Saccharomyces cerevisiae S288C: one gene and its partners. The main gene of each other region encodes a partner of the protein of the gene in region 3 in a complex. Each region holds a gene or a part of one and is shown on either strand. Other genes may lie near its edges. The genes, in order: MRPL27, MRPL36, MRP35 and MRPL44.

Evidence for each region.
Region 1: MRP35 (region 3) and MRPL27 share a complex: the UniProt entries of both Saccharomyces cerevisiae proteins name them as parts of the mitochondrial large ribosomal subunit.
Region 2: MRP35 (region 3) and MRPL36 share a complex: the UniProt entries of both Saccharomyces cerevisiae proteins name them as parts of the mitochondrial large ribosomal subunit.
Region 4: MRP35 (region 3) and MRPL44 share a complex: the UniProt entries of both Saccharomyces cerevisiae proteins name them as parts of the mitochondrial large ribosomal subunit.

What each region holds. Positions count from the first base shown.
Region 1 is NC_001134.8:766,695-769,180, reverse strand, and holds MRPL27 (mitochondrial 54S ribosomal protein mL41 MRPL27), read right to left. Parts: upstream 942-2,486; coding exon 501-941; downstream 1-500. Other genes in the region: SSH1 (Ssh1p), read left to right, coding at 1-238; glutamine amidotransferase subunit DUG2, read left to right, coding at 1,575-2,486. UniProt on the Saccharomyces cerevisiae protein: Component of the mitochondrial ribosome (mitoribosome), a dedicated translation machinery responsible for the synthesis of mitochondrial genome-encoded proteins, including at least some of the essential transmembrane subunits of the mitochondrial respiratory chain.
Region 2 is NC_001134.8:477,422-486,137, forward strand, and holds MRPL36 (mitochondrial 54S ribosomal protein bL31m MRPL36), read right to left. Parts: upstream 7,083-8,716; coding exon 6,549-7,082; downstream 1-6,548. Other genes in the region: TEF2 (translation elongation factor EF-1 alpha), read left to right, coding at 250-1,626; MUD1 (Mud1p), read left to right, coding at 1,917-1,924, 2,014-2,902; CBP6 (Cbp6p), read right to left, coding at 3,014-3,502; GRS1 (glycine--tRNA ligase), read right to left, coding at 3,943-5,946; transcription factor TFIIIC subunit TFC1, read right to left, coding at 7,321-8,716. UniProt on the Saccharomyces cerevisiae protein: Component of the mitochondrial ribosome (mitoribosome), a dedicated translation machinery responsible for the synthesis of mitochondrial genome-encoded proteins, including at least some of the essential transmembrane subunits of the mitochondrial respiratory chain.
Region 3 is NC_001146.8:393,992-402,427, forward strand, and holds MRP35 (mitochondrial 54S ribosomal protein bL35m MRP35), read right to left. Parts: upstream 4,380-8,436; coding exon 4,032-4,379; downstream 1-4,031. Other genes in the region: NAF1 (RNA-binding snoRNP assembly protein), read left to right, coding at 1-379; NMA111 (Nma111p), read left to right, coding at 694-3,687; protein channel TOM70, read right to left, coding at 4,693-6,546; NCS2 (Ncs2p), read left to right, coding at 7,049-8,436. UniProt on the Saccharomyces cerevisiae protein: Component of the mitochondrial ribosome (mitoribosome), a dedicated translation machinery responsible for the synthesis of mitochondrial genome-encoded proteins, including at least some of the essential transmembrane subunits of the mitochondrial respiratory chain.
Region 4 is NC_001145.3:720,460-729,104, forward strand, and holds MRPL44 (mitochondrial 54S ribosomal protein mL53 MRPL44), read right to left. Parts: upstream 945-8,645; coding exon 887-944; intron 740-886; coding exon 501-739; downstream 1-500. Other genes in the region: MRE11 (MRX complex nuclease subunit), read right to left, coding at 1-194; ORA1 (oxidoreductase), read right to left, coding at 1,134-1,937; TATA-binding protein-associated factor TAF7, read right to left, coding at 2,154-3,926; MTF1 (RNA polymerase specificity factor), read left to right, coding at 4,167-5,192; RRP5 (Rrp5p), read right to left, coding at 5,475-8,645. UniProt on the Saccharomyces cerevisiae protein: Component of the mitochondrial ribosome (mitoribosome), a dedicated translation machinery responsible for the synthesis of mitochondrial genome-encoded proteins, including at least some of the essential transmembrane subunits of the mitochondrial respiratory chain.

The DNA of each region.
Region 1 (2,486 bases), on a different chromosome or scaffold from region 3:
ACAGAATGTCGCTAAAGAATTGAACAAAGTCATTCCAATCGCAGCTGTTACGGGTGCATCCGTCTTAAGTTTGATCACCGTTATCGGTGAATCTTTGGGTTTGAAAGGTAAAGCTGCTGGTATAGTTGTTGGCATTGCTGGTGGGTTTTCTTTGCTAGAAGTCATTACCATTGAATACCAACAAAGTGGCGGTCAAAGTGCTTTGAATCAAGTCTTGGGTGTTCCAGGTGCTATGTAAACAAAGAAAAGAAAAAAAAGAAGGAAAACAAAAAAGAAGATCAAATTCTCTCTGCTACGCGCATTTATATACGTACGAACTTTTTGCTCTTCTTTTAGATTTATATGTATCTATATTTAACTCAAAGAAAGATGACATATGGTGCAATGTCTAAGCCATGTTTTATTTGATTTTGTTTTACAATCTTAAGTTTTATTTTTTATCTACCTATAAAGTCGAAAACTAGTATTTACACGCATATTGAAGAAAGATTATAAATAACTTATCCACGCTCCTTATAACATGAAGTGTCGGTGGCCCCTTCGCTTTGTACCCTCCCGTTTACTATGTATTCTTTTATCTTTAATAACTGTAAACGAGGATCTAATGGGCCGCCGCTAAATCCTTTAAATTCGTGTTTTAGAGGTGGTACATTTGCGTTAACGTAGGGCTTTAATTCGAAATTAACCATATCTGGGGTAACATAGGTTCTGACTTTCTTCCAGTTTATCACATAACCACCGAATTTTGTATGTCTACCAATCCCTGAAGCTCTTGTCCCTTTGTACATCGTCTTGTTACCTTGCTTCGTGGTCAACGGCACTCTTTTATTCCCAACTTTTGATAACCCATAAAATAATTCACCATCTCTGTATTTCTTCCAAGGCCTGGTAAGAGCATTAATAGAGGTCTTACTAAATTGAGAAATGGGTGAGCCTTTCATTTTAGTTATTTGCTGTCCTCACTTTCAAGGTAATCTTTGATTCCCGTAGTTTTTTTAAGCAAAAATTGGTGTATACTACTTCAATAGTCCTATCTTTTGTATTAATTCTAGCTTTTCAAAAATAATCCGTGAAACGTGATAATAATAATTATGTATCTCAAGAAAATCATCATCAAATAGCCGCCAACAAGCTGCAGTGAAGCAACATTGAAAGTCCTTCCCGCAAGTATTAGGCTCTGTTTAAAGATTACTAACCTTGTTAATAATTATAATAACACTTCACAGCTATTTTCGTATTCCTTTTCATAGTTAAGGGCATTTCACTTTGATCTAGAATGATCCTCTGATTTCGATGTTTTGTTATATGGTAAGGAAGCTCTTGAGCATTGCTCACAATTACTGCTGCAATTAGAAGTTCAATGAAGATGGTATCTTTTTTTTTTTTTCTCATGAGAGGGAATACCGACTTTACCATAAACTTGAGTGATAATCGCATTGTGCGCCGCGAAAAGCTGTGGCACCAATATCAATAAAATGTGTGTAACTGAATTATTTAAGTGAAAAACTATTTCGAGAAACCGAACAACCCTGTAAGGAAAAGTGAAAAACGAGGGCAGAAGTAATTGTGAAATCATGTACGATAGCAGGGGTGTCGCATTGCACTCTGAACTAATTCATAGGTGGAATCACGCTTTTTCCATCTTATCCATTGTTGCATTTCCAAAAAAAAGATTGTTGTTTGCTGGTAGCCAAGACTCCAAGATATTGGTTTTTGATCTTCCCACATATAATCTAATACATACGATTAGACTAGGCGAATCACAAGAGGAAACGCATACCAGATCTTCGGTTTTGTGCTTGACAGGATCAGAAGATGAAAACTTTTTATTTTCAGGCGGCGCAGATTCTTTGGTGAGAATTTGGTCCATTGGCGAAAAGACCATTAGAGATGACTTTCTACCTGTTACTGAAATAGCCACTGTTTACTCAGTGACCGATATTGGTGATATTTTCTCATTGGCATATTTGGATTCGTTGGAAACTATTGTCTTTGGCTGTCAAAATGCAAGCTTACTATATGTTGAGAACTTGATTCAGAAGATTGAAAAAAAATCCTCTGATGGAGTAGAAAATATCAATAAATTACCGCATAGAAGATATGATAAGTTCTTTGATTCGTTAGGTCCGACTGGATATAGTTCAAATTCATTATCTCAAACTTCATTGACCTCTCTACAAGAAAACTGTGGCGCTGCCATCATAGAGGTTCCCTCCGAAAACATTATTAAATATGCACATTATGGGTTTATTTATTCTATTAATAAATTGTGTCCCAGGTTTAATCAGTTATTGGAAAAAAGCTCACGAACTTCTGGTGCAGAGCACATAATTTCATCCGCTGGTGATGGAATAAGCAAGCTTTGGGAGTTCTCTAAAGATAAAGGGCAAAACACTGTTAAAATCTCCTTGATAAACGATAAAATCGACAATGAAGATAGCGTCATATCCCAAACTATTGAGTTCCCATTTTTATATTGCGGGTTG
Region 2 (8,716 bases), on a different chromosome or scaffold from region 3:
CCGGTAGTTAACTATATATAGCTAAATTGGTTCCATCACCTTCTTTTCTGGTGTCGCTCCTTCTAGTGCTATTTCTGGCTTTTCCTATTTTTTTTTTTCCATTTTTCTTTCTCTCTTTCTAATATATAAATTCTCTTGCATTTTCTATTTTTCTCTCTATCTATTCTACTTGTTTATTCCCTTCAAGGTTTTTTTTTAAGGAGTACTTGTTTTTAGAATATACGGTCAACGAACTATAATTAACTAAACATGGGTAAAGAGAAGTCTCACATTAACGTTGTCGTTATCGGTCATGTCGATTCTGGTAAGTCTACCACTACCGGTCATTTGATTTACAAGTGTGGTGGTATTGACAAGAGAACCATCGAAAAGTTCGAAAAGGAAGCCGCTGAATTAGGTAAGGGTTCTTTCAAGTACGCTTGGGTTTTGGACAAGTTAAAGGCTGAAAGAGAAAGAGGTATCACTATCGATATTGCTTTGTGGAAGTTCGAAACTCCAAAGTACCAAGTTACCGTTATTGATGCTCCAGGTCACAGAGATTTCATCAAGAACATGATTACTGGTACTTCTCAAGCTGACTGTGCTATCTTGATTATTGCTGGTGGTGTCGGTGAATTCGAAGCCGGTATCTCTAAGGATGGTCAAACCAGAGAACACGCTTTGTTGGCTTTCACCTTGGGTGTTAGACAATTGATTGTTGCTGTCAACAAGATGGACTCCGTCAAATGGGACGAATCCAGATTCCAAGAAATTGTCAAGGAAACCTCCAACTTTATCAAGAAGGTTGGTTACAACCCAAAGACTGTTCCATTCGTCCCAATCTCTGGTTGGAACGGTGACAACATGATTGAAGCTACCACCAACGCTCCATGGTACAAGGGTTGGGAAAAGGAAACCAAGGCCGGTGTCGTCAAGGGTAAGACTTTGTTGGAAGCCATTGACGCCATTGAACAACCATCTAGACCAACTGACAAGCCATTGAGATTGCCATTGCAAGATGTTTACAAGATCGGTGGTATTGGTACTGTGCCAGTCGGTAGAGTTGAAACCGGTGTCATCAAGCCAGGTATGGTTGTTACTTTCGCCCCAGCTGGTGTTACCACTGAAGTCAAGTCCGTTGAAATGCATCACGAACAATTGGAACAAGGTGTTCCAGGTGACAACGTTGGTTTCAACGTCAAGAACGTTTCCGTTAAGGAAATCAGAAGAGGTAACGTCTGTGGTGACGCTAAGAACGATCCACCAAAGGGTTGCGCTTCTTTCAACGCTACCGTCATTGTTTTGAACCATCCAGGTCAAATCTCTGCTGGTTACTCTCCAGTTTTGGATTGTCACACTGCTCACATTGCTTGTAGATTCGACGAATTGTTGGAAAAGAACGACAGAAGATCTGGTAAGAAGTTGGAAGACCATCCAAAGTTCTTGAAGTCCGGTGACGCTGCTTTGGTCAAGTTCGTTCCATCTAAGCCAATGTGTGTTGAAGCTTTCAGTGAATACCCACCATTAGGTAGATTCGCTGTCAGAGACATGAGACAAACTGTCGCTGTCGGTGTTATCAAGTCTGTTGACAAGACTGAAAAGGCCGCTAAGGTTACCAAGGCTGCTCAAAAGGCTGCTAAGAAATAAGAGTAATAATTATTGCTTCCATATAATATTTTTATATACCTCTTATTTTTATGTATTAGTTAATTAAGTATTTTTATCTATCTGCTTATCATTTTCTTTTCATATAGGGGGGGTTGGTGTTTTCTTGCCCATCAGATTGATGTCCTCCAACTCGGCACTATTTTACAAAGGGTTTTTTTGTAAGAGAAGGAGAAGACAGATACTAAACCATACGTTACTCGAAACAAAAAAAAAAAAAATGGAAAAAGCTGCTATCAACAAAAGACGGCCTCATCAAACCTAAAGAAACCATGTCAGCGTATGTATATACCTTGTAATTTACGTTTCCTTAAATCTTCTTTCTACTAACGTTTTCATTATTCTATACTCTATGACCAATAAAAACAGACTGTACTTTCAAAATTTACCCAGTAGGCCAGCAAATAAAGAAAATTATACCAGATTACTTCTGAAACACATTAATCCCAACAACAAGTATGCCATTAATCCGTCGCTACCCCTTCCCCACAATAAATTACAAATATCATCACAACCGCTGATGTTACTAGATGATCAAATGGGCCTTCTTGAAGTTTCTATTTCAAGATCATCAAAGATGACTAACCAAGCATTTTTAACGTTTGTCACTCAAGAAGAAGCAGACCGGTTTCTAGAAAAATACACGACAACAGCATTAAAAGTTCAAGGTCGTAAAGTGAGAATGGGAAAGGCTCGAACAAATTCGTTATTGGGTCTTTCAATAGAAATGCAAAAAAAAAAAGGTAATGACGAAACGTACAACCTTGATATAAAGAAGGTGCTTAAAGCAAGGAAACTTAAACGCAAGTTACGTAGTGATGATATATGCGCCAAAAAGTTCAGGCTTAAAAGGCAAATAAGACGCCTGAAGCATAAGCTGAGATCAAGAAAGGTAGAGGAGGCTGAGATTGATAGGATTGTAAAAGAATTTGAAACCCGTAGATTGGAAAACATGAAGTCTCAGCAAGAAAATCTAAAACAATCGCAGAAACCTCTTAAGCGGGCTAAAGTGTCCAATACAATGGAAAATCCACCGAACAAAGTCCTTCTTATACAAAATTTGCCAAGCGGCACTACCGAGCAATTATTGTCGCAAATACTTGGCAATGAGGCTTTAGTTGAAATCAGATTAGTTAGCGTTCGTAACCTAGCTTTCGTGGAATACGAGACCGTTGCTGATGCTACGAAAATCAAGAATCAGTTAGGCTCCACTTACAAGCTACAAAACAATGACGTTACCATAGGATTTGCTAAGTAGAATTTCCTTTGCGGAAGTATACCTCGAGTAAAGAAATTCACAGATAAATTTGAATAACGTTCTCCATTATGAATAAATATGTATTTACAAGCTTAGAAAATAATGTGCTCTTTATTTACCAAATAATACAGTTCTCATTGCAGTAAATAAGCTTTCCTTTTTCTTACCGTCAACGGCATTTATTAACCGTTGATAATATTGGGGATTTCCTGCAGGTTTATAGAGCTTATCGCCAATATCGTAATAGTTTCTGAATTTATTATTCATTATAGTGCTCAAGGCACGAATTTGCTCGTTGATGCTTTCTTCCGTGAATTTCTCATCTACCATTTTATTTTGAATTTTGGTTAACATCTCCTTATTCAGTCCTAATGGACCGGAAGTTCTGTTAATTATACTTTTTATTTCATCTAATGAGGGTTTTTTCTCTTTTATAGATTTTCCTTTGTCATCTACATTTGGCAGACCCGCTACACGTCTAAATCTTGCTATTTGTACATCCCTGAATGAGACCAAGTGGTGTATACGATCCTTTGGATATTTTTCCAGTAAATTAACTAATTTTTTGGCAGAATCCCTGACGACCTGGGAAGAAGACATTTTGGCACTTGCTTGTGGAATACGGAGTTTAACTTGGTAAGCTGATAGAGAGAATGTTTCAATGAAGGCTACCTTTTTTTCTTATAATGTTGCTACCACAGGAAATCTTGATATACGTTAATGTTTTGGCCCCTACAAGGCCGGAAATATTTCGCTTTTTCTTGATATCAGAATTTTTCGCATGTCCGACCATGCGCAGAGCTGCTATGAAAGTACTTTAACTATTAGTGTGAGGAATGGCTAAATAAACAGCAGATGTGATTTCCGCACTTCTTTTATAAACTTCCAAAATAATCGTATTAGTGGACAGTACATAATCATATCTTGCAATACGTATCAATAGTAAACGAATTATTTATTCATACACACATGTATATACTTCTCGCTTCTTTTTTTAATTTACATGTTTGGCGATATATAGTTAAAATTAAGTCATTTATTTAGTCAGTTTCAGCTTCAGCTTCAGCTTGGGCAATAAAAGGAGTCAAATCCTTGGTACCTTCTTCCCAAGAAGCACCATTGTAAGTGATATCGCGGATAGCCTTGATGACATTTTCGACGGAACCTCTAACTTGCTTGGTGGAATCTCTTTCTCTCAAAGTGACAGAATGGTCTTTGGCAGATTCAAAGTCAATGGTGACACCGAATGGAGTACCTAATTCGTCATTACGGGCATATCTTTTACCAATGGAAACTCCAGAATCATCAATCTTAAATGGGATTTGAGACTTTCTTAAGATTTTGGCGACTTCAGTAGTAACAGGAACTAAATCTTTGTGGTTAGATAAAGGAACTAAAAGAACCTTTGTTGGAGCAACCAAAGGTGGGAAGGAAAGAACACTTCTGGCATTGTCTTCTGGTCTGTTCCAGAAAGAGTGCTCAAAAACGGAGTAGATGATACGGCCAATACCGAAAGATGGTTCAATGACACTAGGAACATATTCTCTAACGTGTTCAACCTTTGTTCTTTGTTCGATTTTAACCAATTTATCGTCCAACTCGACTTCGCCATCAACACCATCAACCTTTATAGTAAACTTGCCATTTGCCTTCAATAACTCAGCCTTGGAAGCCAAGTCATCTTGAGACATATTCAATAGATGAGATTCAACTTTTGGTGCATCTTTTCTGAATTTTGGACCGAACAATTTTTTCGTCAAATCAATTTCCCACTTGGTGACTTCAATTGGATTATCTAATTTTTGTCTAACAACCAATTTTTCTTTGGTCTTTTTGGAATGAACGGTCAAATCATAGGCAGATCTATCAGCACATCCGACACATTCAATCCACCCGTAAGATGTCTTCAATTCACCATCCCAACAGTCAGCAGCATAATGTGCCATTTCATTAGCCATATGTTGACGGAATCTCAATTTGGACTCATCAACACCAATTTTCATCAAAAATTGGTAAATTCTGGCAATAAAGTAACCCAAAGTTTCATTATCGACCATTCTTGAAGCAACTGCTTCACCAACTGTCTTGACAATTGGTTCAGTAGAACCAGCTTCTTGAACATCACGAGGCAAAAAGGAAAGCTTGATGTCTTTGATTTCATTAAATTTTGGATGAGATTTGTCCAATGGGTCAACGAAATGTTCAATCTCTGCCATCAAAAATTCACGGACTCTTAATAAACCGGCCCTTGGGGAAATCTCATTTCTAAATGATTTACCGATAGAGGCTGAGGCAAAAGGGGTCTTACTGTTGTTAAATTCTAACAACTTGTTAAAATTCAAGAATTGACCTTGGGCAGTTTCTGGCCTCAAGTAACCCTTTAATTGACCAGATGGGCCAATAGCCGTTTCAAACATCAGGTTAAAAGCCCTTGGAGATTCTAAAGTTTCTCCGGTGACTGGGTTACCGATATCGTATTTTTCCATCAATTCACCTAATTCTGGGCCGGAATAACCATCTATTTTAGCCAAAATTTCTTCATATTCTTTGACAACGTCGTCATCCAATTTGACTGCTTTAATTTGTTTAACTTTTTTCTTTCTCTTCTTCTTTTCGGCATCGTCCTTAGCAGCGGCATTAGCATCCTCGACTAAACCTCTGGCTTCTTGGTCACCCTTTAAGCGAGCTTCCAAAACTTCTTCGACTAAATGGTCAGCTCTGAAAATCTCACCAGTCTTCAAATCTCTACACATCCAATCAGAAAATTTGTCAACATGACCTGAGGTCTTCAAAACCTCATATGGAGTTAACATAGTACAATCAACTTCCAACATATCTTCTTCCAAAATAAAATGCTTTCTCCAGGCGTCAATGATGTTGTTTTGGAATGCACAACCTGGTGGACCATAGTCATATAAACCAGAAACCCCACCGTACAAGTCAAAAGCTGGGGCATAAAAAAATCTTCCTCTCAAAACACTTTCTAGCTGTTCTCTGTTAAATGGAACAGCGGCTCTAGCCTTCTTGATATCTTCTACACTCATTCTTTTAATCTTAACCGATTTTTTAACAATCTGAGAGTAAAATCGTCTACTGATATTGAAGAACGACAATTTTTCTTGAAAATCAACACGAATGCAAAAAGGGAAACTAAAATAAAAGAAATCCTCAAAAGTAATTGAACAGATTTCGAGTCCTAATTGCAAGTAAAATTATGTATACAAAGTACGTGATAAGTATCGCAGCAGTGATTCAACACTCGAGAAGAGTAAAAATTTTCAATTTTTTTCCACTGCGCTGAAATATTACGAGGCGTAGAAAATGATCACTACAATGCCGTTGCTGCTTATTGCAGCGTAAGTGAGCTTCATTCACAGACCATTTGCCTCGATAATCCATGAATCATATCTGGTTCATATTATGTTTGTAAATGTGTGTCTTGTTGCACTTAATCTATCGCGATAGCGCCAAACCAAGCGTTCGCAGAATCTTCGTTGTCAATATATACATATGTAGACGTATGTGTATATGTTGCGGTATATACAAGGCTGTTTATGTAGTCTTCAAACAGATGCGATTGAGATCTATGTCCCAAAAGGAATATAAATTGGTTCGAGAATAGAAAAGTAAGGGGAGCAAACACTATTCACTTCTTGTCTCTCTTCTTACTGGCCAACTTACCTGATTTGATCTGTTGTTCACTATCGTCTAACAGAGATAGATAGTCATCCATACCGAACGCTTTTTCAGAAACGTCTTCCTTCTCCTCCTTTTTAATCTGTGTTTTCTTTTTATTTTCTTCAGATAGTTCAACTGTTTCAGAGCTTGAATTTGGGGTCGTTGAATCGACAGAAAACAAAGAGCTATACCTCTTGTTAAATCTGTCCAAGCTACCACCAGAATTAGCATCCACAACGACTAGGTCATCCCTGCTAGGATTCCACAGCGGATTATTTCTCTGGTCTTGAATTAATCTAATTTCACCCTTTGGATATTGGGATCTCCGGATAACTACACTTCCATCACTCAACTCCATTTTGACATTGAATTGGTGATAAATAGCCGGTCGTGACTTCCCCAGTTGAATTTTTTTTGCAGGCCTTCTTGGCAAAGTAATTCTTGTAGAACCAGGATATGACCCTGTGGAAGCAAATCGCTTCGCAAATATAGACTTCAACATTAGGAGTGAACAAAACGTGTGTTCGTTTGCGTTGGTACCCGTTCTTTCTGGAGGCATTCTTAACTTTTAGGAATAATAATGATACCCTTTCATTTTAGTTATTTGATTTTGATGCATTTTGCACGAGATAATCGCTCTTTACGGTTTGGGGACAAAACTCAGAAATATCACATACGTAGTTATGGTTTTATTGCACATTTGGCATATTTTGATATTGAAATAAAAGAAAACCTACTTATTACAGATCGACTTCATCAACAAATCCCTTGAGCTCGCTTTTCATTGTTTCCGCGGTTTTAGGATCTAGTTTAGCTATTTTATTTATGATATCTTGGAAGCTCGCTGTTTTAACATCAAAACTTTCTTGTTCTTCTTCATCTGCATCAACGTCATCCACGTCATCGTCTATACTTGCAGGCACCTTCAAGTTCTGATCAGTGTCCATCTCTTCATTTTCCAAAGCAGCGTCGTCTGGCTCTTCAGTTATGGCGCCATTATCATCAAAATCATCACCAGCAGCGATACCCTTATCCTCCTCTATGGCATTTGAGGACATTTGACTACCTGCATCCATATTTATGTCCCCATCAGCATCTTTATTGGTGTTAACACCCATTCCCTCTTCTGAGTTCTTGTTTTCGGGTACCATGGATTCTTTAACAAATAACATTGTCTTGAAATACTTCAACTTGTATTTATTATACTCATAATTTCCTTGAACCATGCAACCAAGTTCGTATTTTACTATCCTTCTTATCTTGACCAAGTCTAATTCTTTGAACCATCCAGTTAGTTCATTCGCCTTATCTAAATATTCGACGTTGTGAAAAACTTCTGCAATGTTTGGCTCACCAATTAATAAATCAATCTGCAACATCAGGTACCACGGTATTCTTTTTCCATCAAATTTGAACCTGCTGTCAATACCGCCTGGAGTGTCTGATTCGAATACCAGGGGTGGTGGCTTTGGTACATTCTTTTTCACTATGGGAGAAGATAGTAATTTCCTTTCAATCTTAAAATATTCTGTTTGATATTGGGCGTATTCCACTGAACTTCTGGGGTCTATACCAAATTTGATATATGTATTTCTCCAAGGCCCCATTGTGAAACGATAAGATATGAGTGCCAGCGCTATCTTCATAGTATGGTGTATCTTCTTCGGGACAATCCCATCAAGATGTCTTTTAACCCAAATTGGACGTCTAGCGAAGAGCTCTCTCAAAATTTTCAAGCATTCCTCCAGCGATTCATAAAATTTAGAGTCACTTTTAGTGCCTGGATAGACTTTTGTTTTCTTCGCGACCTCAAAATCGTACAGGACTTGTTCATGAGCTTGGGACGGTATAACTGTCTTATCACTAAGATCATGAACAAACAACTGATAGTTTTTGATATATGTTCCCTTCACTTCTGTGACACCGTTTTTTTTTTTTTTCGCAAATGGATTAGCTTTATATTTATAAAGCAGGGGGAAACCAACCATTGATAACTTAGGAGGTGGCGGCAGTTGGAAATCTGTACTCGGAATTTTAACGCTACGGTCTAAGATCAAATTCCCGATGTTTTCCTGAGGTTGAGAGTCATTATCTGGTACAGAATTGACAAAACTTTTGAAATTATTCCATTCCAGA
Region 3 (8,436 bases):
CGGTATGCCTTATCCACCATACTCACCTTTCCCTCAGCCGACTAACTTCCAGTATCCACCTCCACCATTTGGGCAGGCGACACCGGCCCAATTCTCCAACACTGTTCCATATGGTAGCTTACCTCCCGCATACAACAATATGTCGCCGCCAACACAGCAGTCGTTCATGCCAATGACCCAAAGTCAACCGCCACTTCCATATGGCGTACCTCCCATGAATCAAATGCAAAACCCAATGTACATCCAACCGCCACCTCAAGCACCTCCTCAGGGAAATGGTAATTTCCAACAAGTAATGGAATTACATCAAATACTTTTGCAGCAACAGCAACAGCAACACCAGTATCAGCATCAGCATCAGCAAGATCCAAGAACCTAGAGTCACGATTGAAATATTTAATAATAAATGCTATGTATCATAGATAAACTAGAAAGAGGCAAGAAAAATTTAACAAGTTTCTTAATTGAATATTATTTTACTGTCACTACCATTATTAGACGCCATCTCAGCGTGTGACATGATAATTTTTCTTTTTTTCTTTTTTTTTCCTCAAGGCGATGATATGAAACTTTCAAAAAATTTATATGTAAATAAAAAAGTTCTACGAGGGTTTAAATACGGAAGTTTATTTAGAAGATATTTATACTCTGAATACACACGTAGAGTACAGTAAAGGTTTTTTAGATCTACTAATGACCATATCGTTGAGCAATATAAAGAAAAGAGACCATTCTAAAATTTCCGATGGAACTTCTGGTGAATCATCGCTTGTAAAAAGGAAACAGTTGGAAAGCGCCACCGGAGATCAAGAGGAAGAATATACAGACCATGAAATCATTATAGAGCCGTTGCACTTTGCTAATAATAATAACACTGTACTCACAGATTCAGAAAATTATCTAAGATGGCAAAATACCATCTCCAACGTTGTTAAATCAGTGGTTTCCATTCATTTTTCACAAGTTGCGCCATTCGATTGCGATTCTGCTTTGGTATCTGAAGCTACCGGATTTGTCGTGGATGCTAAATTAGGTATAATTCTGACCAATAGGCACGTCGTTGGTCCTGGTCCGTTCGTAGGCTACGTAGTTTTCGATAATCATGAAGAATGCGATGTTATACCAATTTACAGAGATCCTGTTCATGATTTTGGGTTCCTCAAATTCGATCCGAAAAACATAAAATATTCTAAGATCAAAGCGTTAACGCTAAAACCAAGTTTGGCTAAGGTCGGCTCAGAAATTAGAGTTGTCGGTAATGATGCCGGTGAGAAATTAAGTATCCTAGCAGGTTTTATTAGTAGAATTGACAGGAACGCTCCAGAATATGGTGAGCTGACATACAATGACTTCAATACAGAATATATTCAAGCTGCTGCATCTGCTTCTGGCGGTTCAAGTGGTTCTCCAGTCGTAAATATAGATGGGTATGCTGTGGCTTTACAGGCAGGTGGCTCTACAGAGGCATCTACTGATTTTTTTTTACCGTTAGATAGAATTCTTAGAGCGTTAATTTGCATCCAAACCAACAAACCTATCACACGTGGTACGATTCAAGTTCAATGGCTGCTGAAGCCTTATGACGAGTGTAGAAGATTAGGTTTAACTTCAGAGAGAGAAAGTGAGGCTCGTGCTAAATTTCCCGAAAATATCGGACTGTTGGTAGCAGAAACCGTTTTAAGAGAAGGCCCAGGCTATGATAAAATTAAAGAAGGTGATACTCTAATTTCAATAAACGGTGAAACCATATCTTCTTTCATGCAAGTGGATAAAATTCAAGATGAAAATGTTGGGAAGGAAATCCAATTGGTTATTCAAAGGGGCGGTGTCGAATGTACTGTCACCTGCACTGTTGGTGATTTACATGCTATCACCCCTCATCGTTATGTAGAGGTTTGTGGTGCGACTTTTCATGAATTATCATATCAAATGGCAAGGTTTTATGCGCTACCTGTCAGGGGTGTATTTTTAAGTAGTGCATCAGGGTCTTTCAACTTTGATTCAAAAGAAAGAGTGGGTTGGATTGTGGATTCTATAGACAATAAGGAAACCCCCGACTTAGATACATTTATTGAAATTATGAAAACTATTCCAGATCGTAAGCGCGTTACTGTACGATACCACCATCTAACAGATCAGCATTCTCCACTTGTTACTTCTATTTACATTGACCGTCATTGGTGCAATGAATTCAGAGTTTACACAAGGAACGATACAACTGGTATTTGGGATTACAAAAATGTTGCTGATCCACTTCCAGCCGATGCGTTGAAACCTCGTTCGGCCAAAATTATTCCTATTCCTGTTAATAATGAAAAAGTTGCAAAATTGTCATCATCGTTATGTACAGTGGCTACAATGGCAGCAGTTCCATTGGATTCACTTTCTGCTGATATTTTAAAAACATCAGGCTTAATCATTGATGCTGAAAAAGGTTATGTCCTAGTGTCCAGAAGGGTAGTTCCACATGATTGTCTTGATACTTTTGTCACCATTGCAGATTCCCTTGTAGTTCCAGCCACAGTAGAATTTCTCCATCCAACTCACAACTTCGCTATTGTTAAATATGATCCAGAGTTAGTAAAGGCTCCACTAATCACTCCCAAGCTATCTACCACCAGAATGAAACGTGGTGATAAGCTTCAGTTTATAGGTTTTACCCAGAATGATAGAATTGTTACTTCAGAGACCACTGTCACCGATATTTCCTCTGTAAGTATTCCAAGTAATTTAATTCCGAGGTACCGTGCCACTAATTTAGAAGCTATATCTATCGACTGCAACGTTAGCACCAGATGTAATTCCGGTATTTTGACAGATAATGATGGTACAGTAAGAGGTTTATGGCTTCCATTTTTAGGCGAAAGATTAGAAAATAAAGAAAAGGTTTATTTGATGGGATTAGATATAATGGACTGTAGGGAAGTTATAGATATCTTAAAAAATGGCGGTAAACCAAGAGTAAGTATAGTTGATGCTGGGTTCGGTTCAATTTCCGTTCTGCAAGCCAGAATTAGAGGTGTGCCCGAAGAATGGATCATGCGTATGGAACATGAATCAAATAACAGGCTACAGTTTATCACTGTTTCTAGAGTTTCTTATACAGAAGACAAGATTCATTTAGAGACCGGTGACGTCATTTTATCTGTGAACGGAAAATTAGTCACTGAAATGAATGATTTGAATGGAGTTGTAAGCTCAGCTGATGGTATTTTGCCATCAGCCATGTTAGATTTTAAAGTTGTTCGTGATGGTAATATTGTTGATTTGAAAATTAAAACCGTGGAAGTTCAGGAAACCGACCGTTTTGTAATATTTGCAGGTAGTATCTTACAAAAGCCGCATCATGCTGTTTTGCAAGCTATGGTTGATGTTCCAAAGGGTGTCTACTGTACATTCAGGGGAGAATCGTCACCGGCGCTCCAGTACGGTATATCTGCCACAAACTTCATAACTCATGTCAATGAAATTGAAACACCTGATCTAGATACATTTTTGAAAGTTGTCAAAACAATCCCTGATAATAGTTATTGTAAAATGAGGTTAATGACTTTCGACAATGTGCCCTTCGCTATTTCACTGAAAACGAATTATCATTACTTCCCTACTGCAGAATTGAAGAGGGACAACATCACGCACAAATGGATTGAAAAGGAATTTACCGGCAACAGCCAAAGTGAAAAATAGGCCAGATTTGATAAAACATTTATATATGTATGTATGTATGTATACATCAAAGTCTTCCATAAAGAACAGTTTTTTTATAGACTATCACAGGAGCGTTAAGATTTACAAGTTTTTCAATCATTTTGAGGGGTTAGGATTATGATGTCGAGATGGTTGCAAGCGCCTGACGAAATAGTATTTAATTACTTCAACGCTTGAATTCTCTAAGGTATTATCGATTGTATAAATTTATGGTTATTGTTTCATACTTATTTATATACATGAAGACCGAAAGCAAATACTCAAACAATTGATTTGGGGTTAACGGTGCGTTTGGTTTAGAGGAGAACATAATTATTCCACCTTCAATGATAGGGTAATAACCGCTTTAGATGCTTTGAATAAGCTGGATGGGCAATTTTCCTTCCGGTTAAGGCTTTTAATGATCTATGGGACCAGCCTATATTGCCATGTTTTCTTCCAGCTATGCCTCTTTTAAAAGTATTACCGGTACGCCTCCACCTCTTTGCTGTACCTTTATGAGTTTTCATTAAAGTTCTTATTGTTATTGTAGAAACGTTATTGAATAGAAAGCCGTTGAGCTTCACTTTGAAACTATTTGAACCTTTAAGTAGTGGTTTGAGTACATTGAAAACAGACATGTTTTGGTTTTGGTCTCCTCGTTGCCGTTTGTTATGCAAGCTAATTTTCATGATAGATATATATACTATCTTTTTTGTATTTGACCAGATTTTTTTAGGCTCCGCAAATTGGCGAGGGCTTCAAGGTTGAAAAAATTGGTTGTGGTTTATACGCACTGCTAATTATTTACAGAATGAAAGAGAAAAAGAAAAAGATATATATATATATATTAGAACATGCATACGTGTATATTGAAACAAAAATGAAAACAAAAATTTTCAAAGTGAGATGTCAATGTCATTGCTGCTCTTCCTTTGTCATTTAGTCTACTTTGTTACTTAGTTTTTGTCTTCTCCTAAAAGTTTTTAAGTTTATGTTTACTGTTTACATTAAACCCTGTTCGCGTAATTTAGCTAAAGTTTCTTGAATCTTTTTAGCCAATACTGGATCAGACCTAATTCTTTGTTGAACTTTAGCGGCTTCAGCAAAAGTAATGGCTTGTAATTTCTCTTCCATAGTTCTAGCCAAATCAGCGGATTCTTCGAATAATGTAATAGCTTCATCGATATCTTCCTGCTGCAATTTCATTTGAGCTAAACCGATTTTAGCTTGCTCACTTCTTGGGTCTAGTTTGGACGCTTTTTCTAATAAATTCGTGGCTTCAATAAAATTTTCTACTGTTGGATTTCTTGTCAACAAAGTGGCTTTACCGACCAAAGGCGCAATTCCAACATAAATACCATCCAACTTGTTTTCTAATTCAATAGCCAAATCGTACTGCTTCAAAGCCTTGTCAAAATCGTTCTTGTCTGTTAAAATTTCAGCAAAGAAATTTGGAACTTCTGGTGCCTCTGGAAATTTTCTCTTAGCTTCACTAAACAAAGTTTCACAGTCATCAAACTTGTTTTCACGGTACGCTAGACATGCTAATTGAATATAAGGGAAGATATTCTCTGGGTCTAATTCCTTAGCTTTATCAAAATCTTTTCCTGCTTGATCATAGTTTTGTAAAATGAAATTCATTTGGCCGCGGTGATAGTAAACAGAAGAATTGTTTGAGTCCAGTTTCAGCGCTTTATCGAAGTAGTTATAATATTCAGTCGAGTCATTTCTATCAGCCATGATTAATGCCATGTAGATATATGAATTGACTCTTGGGAACAATTCAATAGCTTTCTTGATGTCTTCGTGAGCTCCCAATGGATCGTTTTTCAAGAACTTGAAAATACCTGTGTGTTCTAATGAGATGGCCAATTTTTCCTTTAACTTTTCATCCTCATTGTTCTTGTCCAATTGTTCTTCAAATAACCTTGCAGCTTTCGTGAAAGACTCATCAGCCTTGTCGTAACTTTCGGGAGATCTTTTGTACAAATTACTTAAACCGTTCATTAACTCTTTATCAGCTTCATTGGATTCATCATAATTGGCAAAAGTCAACTCGGGTTTGAAAATACCAAAGAAAGAGGCCATGGATGTAACTGAAGGCAAGTTTTCCTGCTTGTCTTTGCGTTCTTTAGCTGGTTGGGTGGATAATTCAGTTGGAGTAGCAGTAGCGGTGTCAATATCGCCAAACTTTTCTTTCAATTTAGACATAGCTTGCTTATTCAAGTTCCTCTCCAACATTGGTTCAATAGAGGCGTCATTGAAGTCACCATTTAGAGACAATACAGACAAATCGAACATCGCATCCGCAAATTTTCCTAGCCCTTCGTTAGCAGAAGCTCTTCTCAGTAAAACTTTTGAGTAGTCTGGTTTTAATTCAAGAGCCTTAGTACTCATTTCAACAACTTTTTTCAAGTCACCCACAGAAACATAGCAAGCCGATAAATTCGAGTAGAAAACTGGGTCTTCTTTCAATTCTAATGCCCAATTATAGTACTTAATAGCATCGTCATATTTTTTATTTCTAAAGAACTGGTTACCTTTGTCCTTTAACGCTAATGCATATTTATCCTTTTCTTCAGCGGTGAAATTTGCCTTATTGGAAAAATCTGGTTCGCCATTACTAGAAACCGGGTAGATAGGAGGATTTGATGGGGCTGTAGATTTCTTAGCACCTTCAGTCTCCTTTTGAGAGTCCTTTGTGTCCTTTTTTTCATCTTTGTTGATCGTGTTCTTTTTTCCTCGTTGTTGTTGTTGTTGCAATTGGTTGTAATAATAGTAGGCACCGATGGCAGTACCTGTAGCAGCAACGGTTGCCAAAATGGCTGTCTTGTTCCTTGTAATGAAGCTCTTCATTGGCAATTGAGAACCTAGATGTGAGCTGTAATTTCACTTCCGAATCTTGCTTCTCTTTTATGGTGAGTGGTGGAGTTCCTCTTAATTCCTTTAAGATCTTTTCCACTGGTCGTCCAAACACAAAAGGTGGTTTAACGCCATCTTATTCATCGTATACAGTGATATTGTATATTTTAAACTAATGGCAATGAAACTCTTTCTTTCCTTCCACTTAATCCTTGAATGTTTGTTTCTGAAATGATATAACACTGTTGAACCTTATGGAAACATTTGAAGTTGCCTGCACAGTGTTTCTTTCAATAAAGTCATCTTTATTATTTTTGAATAGTTGACTTAATTACATCATCATTATCTACGTATTATGGAGTTTTTTTCAGTTACGCAGTGAAAAACTGTTATAGTACCGATGAGATGAGTGAGACGAGCATAAAATTAACTTCGGTTTCTGTATTTGCTATTGTCCATCCCTATCCTAGTTTTAAAAATATAATTCTATCAAGTTATGGAGTGCCAGAGGTGCCCTGCATCTGCCAGAAATCCAGCGACAGTTGAGTCTAGAAAGGAAAAGTTTTGCGATGAATGTTTCATCAAGTTTGTTAGTACTAAACAAAGGAAACAAATGATGAAGGATGAATATTTCAGGAACCTATTTAAAGTTATATACCCATTTGAAAAAGAAGGATCCGTCTCTAAGATTCTGCTCCCCTTATCACATTCTGATTCAGGATCTCTGGTTATGTTAGATATTGTGCACGACTTGCTATTGGAACAAACTAAGCAACACAATAATCGTACAGGCTTTACCGTCGATGTACTCACGGTATTCACCGAGGAAAATGTTTCTGTTATCAAAGAACGTATGGAATCCTTGATTAATGAAAAAATGTCACAACTGAATAAAATATCCAACATATTTAATGTCCATTTTATTGATGTTAACGAATTTTTCAACAATGCATCGGAAGTATCGACTTTTATCATTGACAATGAAAATTTTGAGATTTTCAGCAAGTCAAAGTCAGTAGATGATAGCAATATATTAACATTAAAAGAAATATTAGGCAAATACTGTCTCAATAATTCATCCAGGTCTGATTTAATATCGATTATAAAAACTCAATTGATCAAGCATTTTGCATACGAAAATGGTTATAATGCCATAATGTGGGGACATTCCATGACAAAGCTATCTGAAGTAATTATTTCTCTTGTGGTAAAAGGTAAAGGTTCTCAAATAGCGACGTTTCTAGACTCGGAATCATTTGATACTTTGAATAATAAACCATGTAAGTATAAAAACCTATATCCTATGAAAGATCTATTATCCGTCGAGATTGAAAGTTTTTTACAAATCAGAAATCTGGCACAGTTCCTCATTAACGTTGAAGAAACTAATGTGAAGCCTAATTGCTTGATCGCCAGAAAATCACTGCCGTCACTTGGTCAACAAAAATTGGTAAAAAATATGACAATCAACGAAATTACCAACAAATACTTTCAGGATATTCAGAACGATTATTCAAATATAATATCGACAGTTTTAAGAACCGCAGATAAATTGACGCAACCTAAATCAAGTATGGCTAAGCCGTCACAATGTCAAATATGTCAATCTAAAATATACACAAATCCATCCAATTGGTTAAATAGGATCACAGTTACTTCGCCTTATCCTGTGGAGACCACTGAAGAAAAGTATTTATTTAAACAGTGGCAAGATTCAAAATTAGGGCAATCTCACACACATTATGTTGAATTGTTGAATGAAATCAAACAGGGTGCCAGTAATAGCCTCGATGTTGAAGACGGTGATGTCAAATTGTGTTATGGTTGTTTAATCTTATTGAATACCAGTATCAAGGATAAGAATTTGGTTTGGCCAAAAGTCGA
Region 4 (8,645 bases), on a different chromosome or scaffold from region 3:
TTGGAAGGCTTATTCACGTGAAAAAGATCACCGGACTGTACAACCATGTCTACGTTGTTATTTTTGGCCAGCATCATGACTTCATGGAAAGTTTTCCAAGAATCATCGCCAGTAATGGGATCATTTTCGTTGTAACCCACATGATTATCTGTAGTAATTAAAATCCTTATTGTGTCTGGATCAGGATAGTCCATAGTCGAGTTTTATCGGATCTGAGCAGGTACAACTTGCGTCAATTGTCTGCATTCTCTTAATGTTGTTTCCACATTGTCTTCCTTACAAGCGTAAAGAGTAATTTAATATGGCTATAATGTTTGGGTTCTATTCGATTGGCCATACTATTTAAACCTTAAGTCAGTTTGGTTGGGTATATCTATCTATACGTTTGTGTAATTGCATATATATTATTTACAGGCTTGCTTGTGAACTCTGACTTTGTTTTTGTTAGAATATTAGAAACGTGCATGCCTACAATGAGATTTGTAGATGCCTTTATTTTCTCAATGCATTTCCAACATATGTTTGAGATCCAGCTGTTTCGAGTGACGGTCGAAATGATTGGCTAATTCCTGAAAGTTCATGTTTGATGGATCGACTTCCATTTCTTTTTTGTCCTTGTAGGTTACTTTCACAAGAGGCTTGACTTTATTGTAATCTGAGATAATTTCCGATTGAATCTGCGTGCCCATGTTTCGTTGCGTTGGTGGAATGGCAGCAAGTACTAACCTAGCAACTTTCGCTGAAATCAATGATATGACCATATCATTTGCTGTTAGTATTTGTGATAGATCGGTTCGAGCCTACCTCAGCCTAGTTTAGCCAAATCTTTAAATCATGATGGCCAAAGGTAAGGAGAACGAATAACAGAGCGAAAAAAAATACATACCTTCCTTGCCAAAGGGATTAAACCTGACAATTACCTTACTGAAGTATTTAGTTATCATGGCGAAGATATAATTAAGCTCGTTTCTTCTTCACATCTGTTCATCCTCTATTTGAGGATCCATAAGTTTATCTCTTTTATTTCGCCGGTATATTCCGTAGAATCGCGCAAAACGGTTCAGGGAAGAATGAAATAGCTAAAAAGTCTTACATGTATAAAAAGTATACAGATTTACTTAGTTTAGCTAGGTTTATCCACGGAAGATATGATGAGGTGACGCTTGGTTTGTTGGAAAGATTAAAGTGTCTGCAATTACAGTATTTTGTTTTCTGGAAGTTGCATAGACGATCAGATCAGCCACGTCATCAGCCATCAATGGGGTAGTATCCTTGTAAACATTCTTGGCTTGTTCCTCGTTACCTCTGTATCTAACTAGTGAAAATTCAGTCTCGACTAGCCCTGGTGCAATTAGAATGACTCTAATTTTAGTGTTGATGAGCTCCTTTCTCAAACTATCAGTGAACGCCCCCACGGCAAACTTAGAGGCACAATAGATAGAACCTGTTGGGTATGCGTCTCTGCCAGCGATTGAACCCAAATTTACAATATCTCCTGAATTCTTGGCTTGGAATATGGGCAGTACAGCTTGTGTGATATTGATTAAAGCCGTGACGTTGGTGTCAAACACGTCCTGGATATCCTCCGTTGCGATCTGGCCCACACGGTCACTGCCAAGAGCCTTTCCGGCATTGTTCACCAGAATGTCAATATCCTTGAACTCTTGTGGCAAGTTTTCAATGAAGGGCTTGATTTTTTCTGCTTGAGTGATATCCAGCTGGGCCACATGAACTTTTGCGTTTGGAAACTCTTGATCAATGGTCTTCTTCAATTCCTCGAGCTTTTCTAATCTTCTAGCAGCCAAGATCAGTTTCATATCACCATTGGATGCCTCCAAGTACTCTAATGCGGTCGCCTTACCAATACCAGCAGATGCACCTGTAATGAGGACAGTCTTCTTAGCCAATCTTTCTGCAGCTTTTCTACCTTGGGACATTATCAAAATACGTTCTCAATGTTCTATTTCCCGCCTTTACTAGTGAGCTTGAACACTTTCTATGCGCCATGCTGTTTCATCTATCCTCCTTTCTTCAGCTTTTTATATCGCTCCGATAAGAAAAATCGGTGTCGTGCCTTAATATATATCAATGCTATACGTCATAGAGTAGAGTCGTATAGTGTATAAGAGTAATATATAGATGATAAAGAGAACTTACTCATCACCCTCTGCACCAAATAGCATCATCATATCGAGATCGTTCTGGTCGAGTGTTTCCTCTGCGGGGGCTTCATCAAGTTCGCGCACCACCTTGTTCTCTTGTATGTGTTCCCGTTCATGCACATTATCCTCGTCCTCATCGTTTTCTTCGTCATCCTCCTCGTCTTCGTCCACTTCATCCTCTTCCTCTTCTTCTTCCTCTTCCTCTTCTTCTTCCTCGACGTTATTTGCAGTTTCTGCGTCAGAGCGATGTTGATGTTGTTTCTGGACAGAATCTTCGGTTTGTTGTAACTGCTTACGTTTTAGTTCAGCCTCCTTCTCGAGCTTTTTAATGCTATCTATGAACCTGCTTTTCAAAAGAGGATTCGTGGCTTTACTTAATTTATGCTTGGTATGGGCCAGGGTGGTCTCTAGTTCGTTCAATTCGTCCGCAAGTAATTCAGTGTGCTGTCTGTTTTCGTCTTTTTCGTCATCAGATTCACTTTCCCCACCAGCAGCTTCAATGTCACCGTCGTCATCATCGTCATCATCTTCTCCGCCTGTGTCTTGATCCACCTCATCACCGACTTCCTCTTGTTGTTGCTCCTTGTCTCCCTCGGCACCGCTACCTTCCTCTTCACTTTCAAAAGCAGCGCCTAGGTCAAGATCCTCCTCTTCTTCTTCTTCCATTCCTTCTTCTCCCTCTTCTTCTGCACCTTGTTTTCCTACTGCCGAAGCAATTGTGTGTATCTCTTCTTTCTTTAAAGCAGGTCTAGATAAAGGCTCTCCAGGCTCCTCTTTGAAATTTTCCCAACTAGAAACACGCTCTTGCCTCGCTTGCAGTTCACTTTTATCAACCAGATCATAGCTGACCTCTTCTGCCTGTTTATCTTGCTTCAAAAGCATATCAACCACTTTTTCTACATAGTCTATTTCATTAGGGTCCATTTTCCGTCTAAATCGTCTATTTCGAACATTGTACAAAGGTGGTGATATTCCATGTTTGTAGTCATAGCCCTTCAAAGCTATTTCTTTCAAATGTTTAGCCTCCATATCACTTAAAGGCGCACCATTGTATCCTTTTAAGAAGGTTTCTTTATTCTCCCAAATTTCATCCTCTATGCCTTCAAAATGCTTAACAACCAGATCTTCTGTATCAGGGGCTTCTAGGGCATATACTTCTTCCTCTTCTTGTATAGGTCTTATGCATAGTAGCATTTGTGATACGTCAAATGTCTTCAGGAGGTTTTTTCTATCGACGCTCTTGTTCACTTCTATAACTGTAGGCAAATCTACTAGAATGGCACCATACATTACATCGTTTATTGTTACGACAGCGTGTCTCTCGTTTTTCCACTTGATACTTATCCCAGAATAATCACCTGATTCTAACGAATTTTTTACAAACTCTAACTGTATGTCTGGAAGTATCCTTAATATCACACCACTCTCTATGAGAGGGTCATCTTCAATATCAGAGGCTTCTGAGTCGTACGCTTCCCCAGGAATTCTAATAGGTTTGAGACGTAGCTTTGGCGCCTTGTGTATCTTCTTAACTGGTTCTTCATTTTTTTTCAAGTTTAACTTTAACTTCAATGAATTCTTCTTCTCTTTGCCGTCAGCACTCTCTTTCTTTTTCTTTAGGTTTATCTTTAATTTAGGCTTTGGTTTGATATCTTCATCAGTTACCTTTGTCTTTATGCGAATTCTCTTTAGTTTAGGCTCGCCTTCTAATGGTTGATCCTTCTCTCCTGGTCCTCTGGGTTTTTTAATTCTTATAACAGCCATATTTACGTCGATTATTGCGACTAATTTGAATGGTAACACTGTCTCTTGTTTATGTAGTTCTTCCTATTCTTCTCGCTTTTATTATTTTTGCTAGCAAGTTTTGTCTTGAAATTTTATTTACTGTTCTCATCGGCCGAATAACAGCGATATTATTGTATGATGATAATAGAGATGAAACTTTACAAATGCGGTTACTACGTCAGTCAATACCATTCTTTGAAGTAAGAAGGCTCAGCAACTATGTCTGTTCCAATCCCTGGTATTAAAGATATCTCCAAACTTAAGTTCTTTTATGGTTTCAAATATTTATGGAATCCAACAGTATACAATAAAATCTTTGATAAGCTGGATTTAACTAAAACGTATAAACATCCAGAAGAATTGAAAGTACTTGACCTCTACCCTGGTGTTGGTATACAATCAGCTATTTTTTATAATAAATATTGCCCCAGGCAATATTCTTTATTAGAAAAACGCTCAAGTCTCTACAAGTTTCTGAATGCAAAATTCGAAGGGTCTCCATTGCAAATTCTAAAAAGAGATCCATATGACTGGTCAACCTACTCGAATCTAATTGACGAAGAGCGAATATTTGTTCCTGAAGTTCAATCCTCAGATCATATTAATGATAAATTTCTAACCGTTGCTAATGTGACGGGGGAGGGTTCTGAAGGTCTTATAATGCAGTGGCTGTCCTGTATTGGAAACAAGAACTGGTTGTATAGGTTTGGTAAAGTAAAGATGTTATTATGGATGCCAAGCACAACAGCTAGAAAACTTCTAGCTAGGCCAGGCATGCATTCTAGATCCAAATGTTCAGTAGTAAGGGAGGCATTTACAGATACTAAACTCATTGCCATATCAGACGCAAATGAATTGAAGGGATTTGATAGTCAATGCATAGAAGAATGGGATCCCATTTTATTTAGTGCTGCGGAAATATGGCCTACAAAGGGAAAGCCAATTGCGTTAGTAGAAATGGACCCAATTGACTTCGATTTTGACGTAGATAATTGGGATTATGTCACGAGGCACTTAATGATTTTGAAAAGAACACCCTTGAATACTGTCATGGACTCGCTGGGACATGGTGGCCAACAATATTTTAATAGTAGAATCACTGACAAAGATCTGCTAAAAAAGTGTCCGATTGATTTGACAAATGACGAGTTTATATATCTAACGAAATTATTCATGGAGTGGCCTTTCAAACCAGATATTTTAATGGATTTTGTTGATATGTATCAAACAGAGCACTCTGGTTGAAAAAAGTGCTTTTAAAATTTACTTCATTATTTAATAAATATGTGATTTTAGCGTGTGAATATAAAAAATACATAGAACTCAATCTTCGTTAACACGGAACCATCTTGTAATCAAGAAGCGAGAAGCGGAACTAAAACTTTAAGAAAAGGAGCTCTACGAACCGTCAAAGCTAAATTGATCGATAGAAATTGCTTCTTGAAACTTTACATTCTATGTACTTTACAAATATACTTTACAAACTTAGCCATTTATATTACTTTACAGTTAAAAATCCATCAGGAATTATTCGTCTGCTTTTTGAGATTCATGGCTAGCGACATACTCAGTAGCTTTAGCTTTAACGTATTCAATGGTCTTTTCGTCACCTTCAGATTCCTCAAATTGTAACCATTTATTAAAGAAAAACTTAGCCTGCTTCCTTGTTATTTTTTTGGTTATTATTCTCTCAAATAAATCTTCCACCTTCTTCTTATCTTTTGCCTTCACTTCCTGGTCTACGTAAACGTTCCACAGGTCAATTCTCTTTGGCGCATCAGCAACCAAACCTTCGAATAATGACCGACCCCTTTCTGGGTCACCCTTTGCAAATTCTAATTGAGCAAACTTGCGGACAACCTCGATATGATTACGCTTTGGTAGGGCCTTCAAAGCATTACCTAAAATAGTACGTGCCTCTTGCTCTTCATTGTGGCTGATCAAAAAATCACCCCACGATACCCAGATAGAAACTTTCTCGCCGCCAAATTTCTTAGCTGTAGCTTTGAATAATTCTGCTGCTTTGTCGAACTTTTCACTTATTTCATAAATACCAAGCAGTTTTGTATGAATAGTATATGAGTCCATATACTGACAAGCCCTGCTAAACACTTCTTCTAAAGTTTCTTCGGTACCAAAAGTATTTTCTAAATTCAGCATTGCAATCCAAATATTCAACTTCTCGGCTTCTTCTCTGAAGTTGATGGTCTTTAGCGCACGTTCTGCGAGCTCTCGAGCCTTCTCGATCTCACTCAGTTGTAGTTGGAAAGCCATATAGTTCATCCACACTACGGACGAATTTGGATTACCGATAAGTAGACGTTCAAAATCGGCAACAGATTCTGGTGCCCTAGTGTTGATATCAATGGTCTTATCCTGAACAACATTTTCCTTTCTTCTCTTGTGCTTGTGTTTCTTATTTTCAGTAAAGTCTTCTTGATCTTGGTCAGACTCTTCTTCTTCTTGCGCTTGATCCAAAATGGAAGCAGTCCAATCAAAACCAGCACTCAAGGATAGCCCATCCGAAGATGTTTCAGGCTTCCTATCGGCAACTTCGGTGTTTTGGTCTCCGATATCAGATTCGCTGTCGGAATCGTTGAAGCCAGCATCTGCCATGACTTCATCTTCATCCTCCTTTTCCAGTTGATCCACAGTAGTAGTGGTGGTGGTAGTAGAAGCCAATTCGGCTTCTTTAGAGAAATGAGACGCTTTCAAGCTCAATGAAATTTGTTTTTTTTCTGGATTTGTTTTCAAAACAATAGCTTTTACTCTGTCCCCAACACCAAACAAGGCAGAAAGATCTTCAGGTTTTTTGTCCGCAATTTCAGTAATATGTGCCAAACCAGTAACATTAACAGTGTTATCTAGTTTGACGAAAACACCAAAATCAGTGACGCTTTTAATTGTACCCTCGAAAACATCACCAGCCTTAATGTCTGAATAGGTCTTTAGAACCTTTAAATCACCATTTATTTCGGATTCTCTTAGGGTTAGAGAAATACGAGAATCTTCATCGCATGTAACGACTTTTCCCAAAACGTATTGCATAGGCTTGTAAAACTTCTTCCATTCCTTCAAGTAAGAATCAGATAGTTTACTAACAGGGACAAAGGCTTCAACTTTCCTACTCAAGTAAACAAAAATACCTTTGTCATTCACATTCTTAACAATACCATCTACAATCTCGCCTTGCTTCAAATCTTCATGAGATTTGATCGAACGAGTTTTTGCAGTAGCAGGACGAAGGGATAGTTCAATTTTCTTATTCTGTTCATCAACAGATAAAACGGTAGTTGGAATGACGTTGTTAATTTTGTCTTCAAAAGCTTCCTTCAATGTTAGGGAGAAATCATTTAACGCATCCGTAATAAAGGAAATACCAGTCACTTTGTTACCAAGGTCTAACAAAACATACTTTTCAGCTATTTTTAGAACACGACCTGGCAATTCATCACCAACTTTAATTGTGGACATATTTATGTCAACATGACTCTTTCCAATGGCATTGACAAAGCCATGCTCGCGGTCAATAGAGGCAACTTTCACTTGGAGGGCTGAACCTAATGGGAAAACAGATTCAATATTTTCTGAAAAATTTGAATCGTTATCAGCTAAATCTAGTAGAGAAATTCTCGCCTTCAAAACTGGAGAAATTGTTAGCCATAGGTGGTTACCTGATGAATTGTTGACAAAGCCAGTTAACTCTTGCCCAATGTTGATTTCCTCAAGACTTTTTGTGTGCACTTCCTTAGATTTTAATTCTGATGGTTTCATGGATAATTCCAAAACGCTAGCCTTTGAGATTTTGTGTGTAATCGGCAAGAACTTATGGCTCTTGACATCGTGATTACCTATGATTTTTACCTTGATGACATCGTCTTTTTTGTAATTACTCAACGGCTGTTTCTTATCTGTAATTTCTTCATACGTGTCAAACACTTCAGCAATGTCCACTCTGCCATGCAAATTTGCCGCTAAAATAACATTCAATTGATTTTTCTTGACGCTCTTGATTTTTGCTTTAACAATACTACCAATAGACAAATCGTCCCAGCTTTTGATAGACGAATCAACAGGATCTTCGATATTAGATTCAACTTTCTTCTTCTCTTCTTTGACCTTTGGAGCTTTTAGAGATAATAGGAATTTCTGGTTTTTGTCGTCTGTTCTTAATAAATAGACGGTAACGGATTGGTTAATATAAAACGCCTTGCTGATATCAATATCCCTACTATCAACAGCGTAACTTGGTAAAACCAACCCAATGAACTTACCGTTAAATGCAACAAAGAGACCCTTATCAGAAATGGATTTAATGTAAGCGTGCATTGGTACATCTTTATTTAGATCCTTAACATCATCATATGTTAATGGAAGAGTCTCCTTTTTAGCGTCTTTAATCAGAGAACTTTTGAGGGACATATTGAAAACGCGGGTTCTTGTATCTTTATCAATTACCAAACCAGTCAGTTCAGTGCCGATTCTGAGCTTTTTCAACTGAGCCCTATTTTGTTCAATTCTGGAATCAGAGAGATGACCAACGTAGATGACACCACGCAAGCCAACATCAGGAATTTCAACAATAACAGAATCTTTGGTTTTTTCGATAACATGGACAGTAATGATTGTTCTGCCTGGAACAATATTTTCAATGGTATCTTTTTGTTGGGCAGCCTGTTCATTTGAAACTTTGCATGT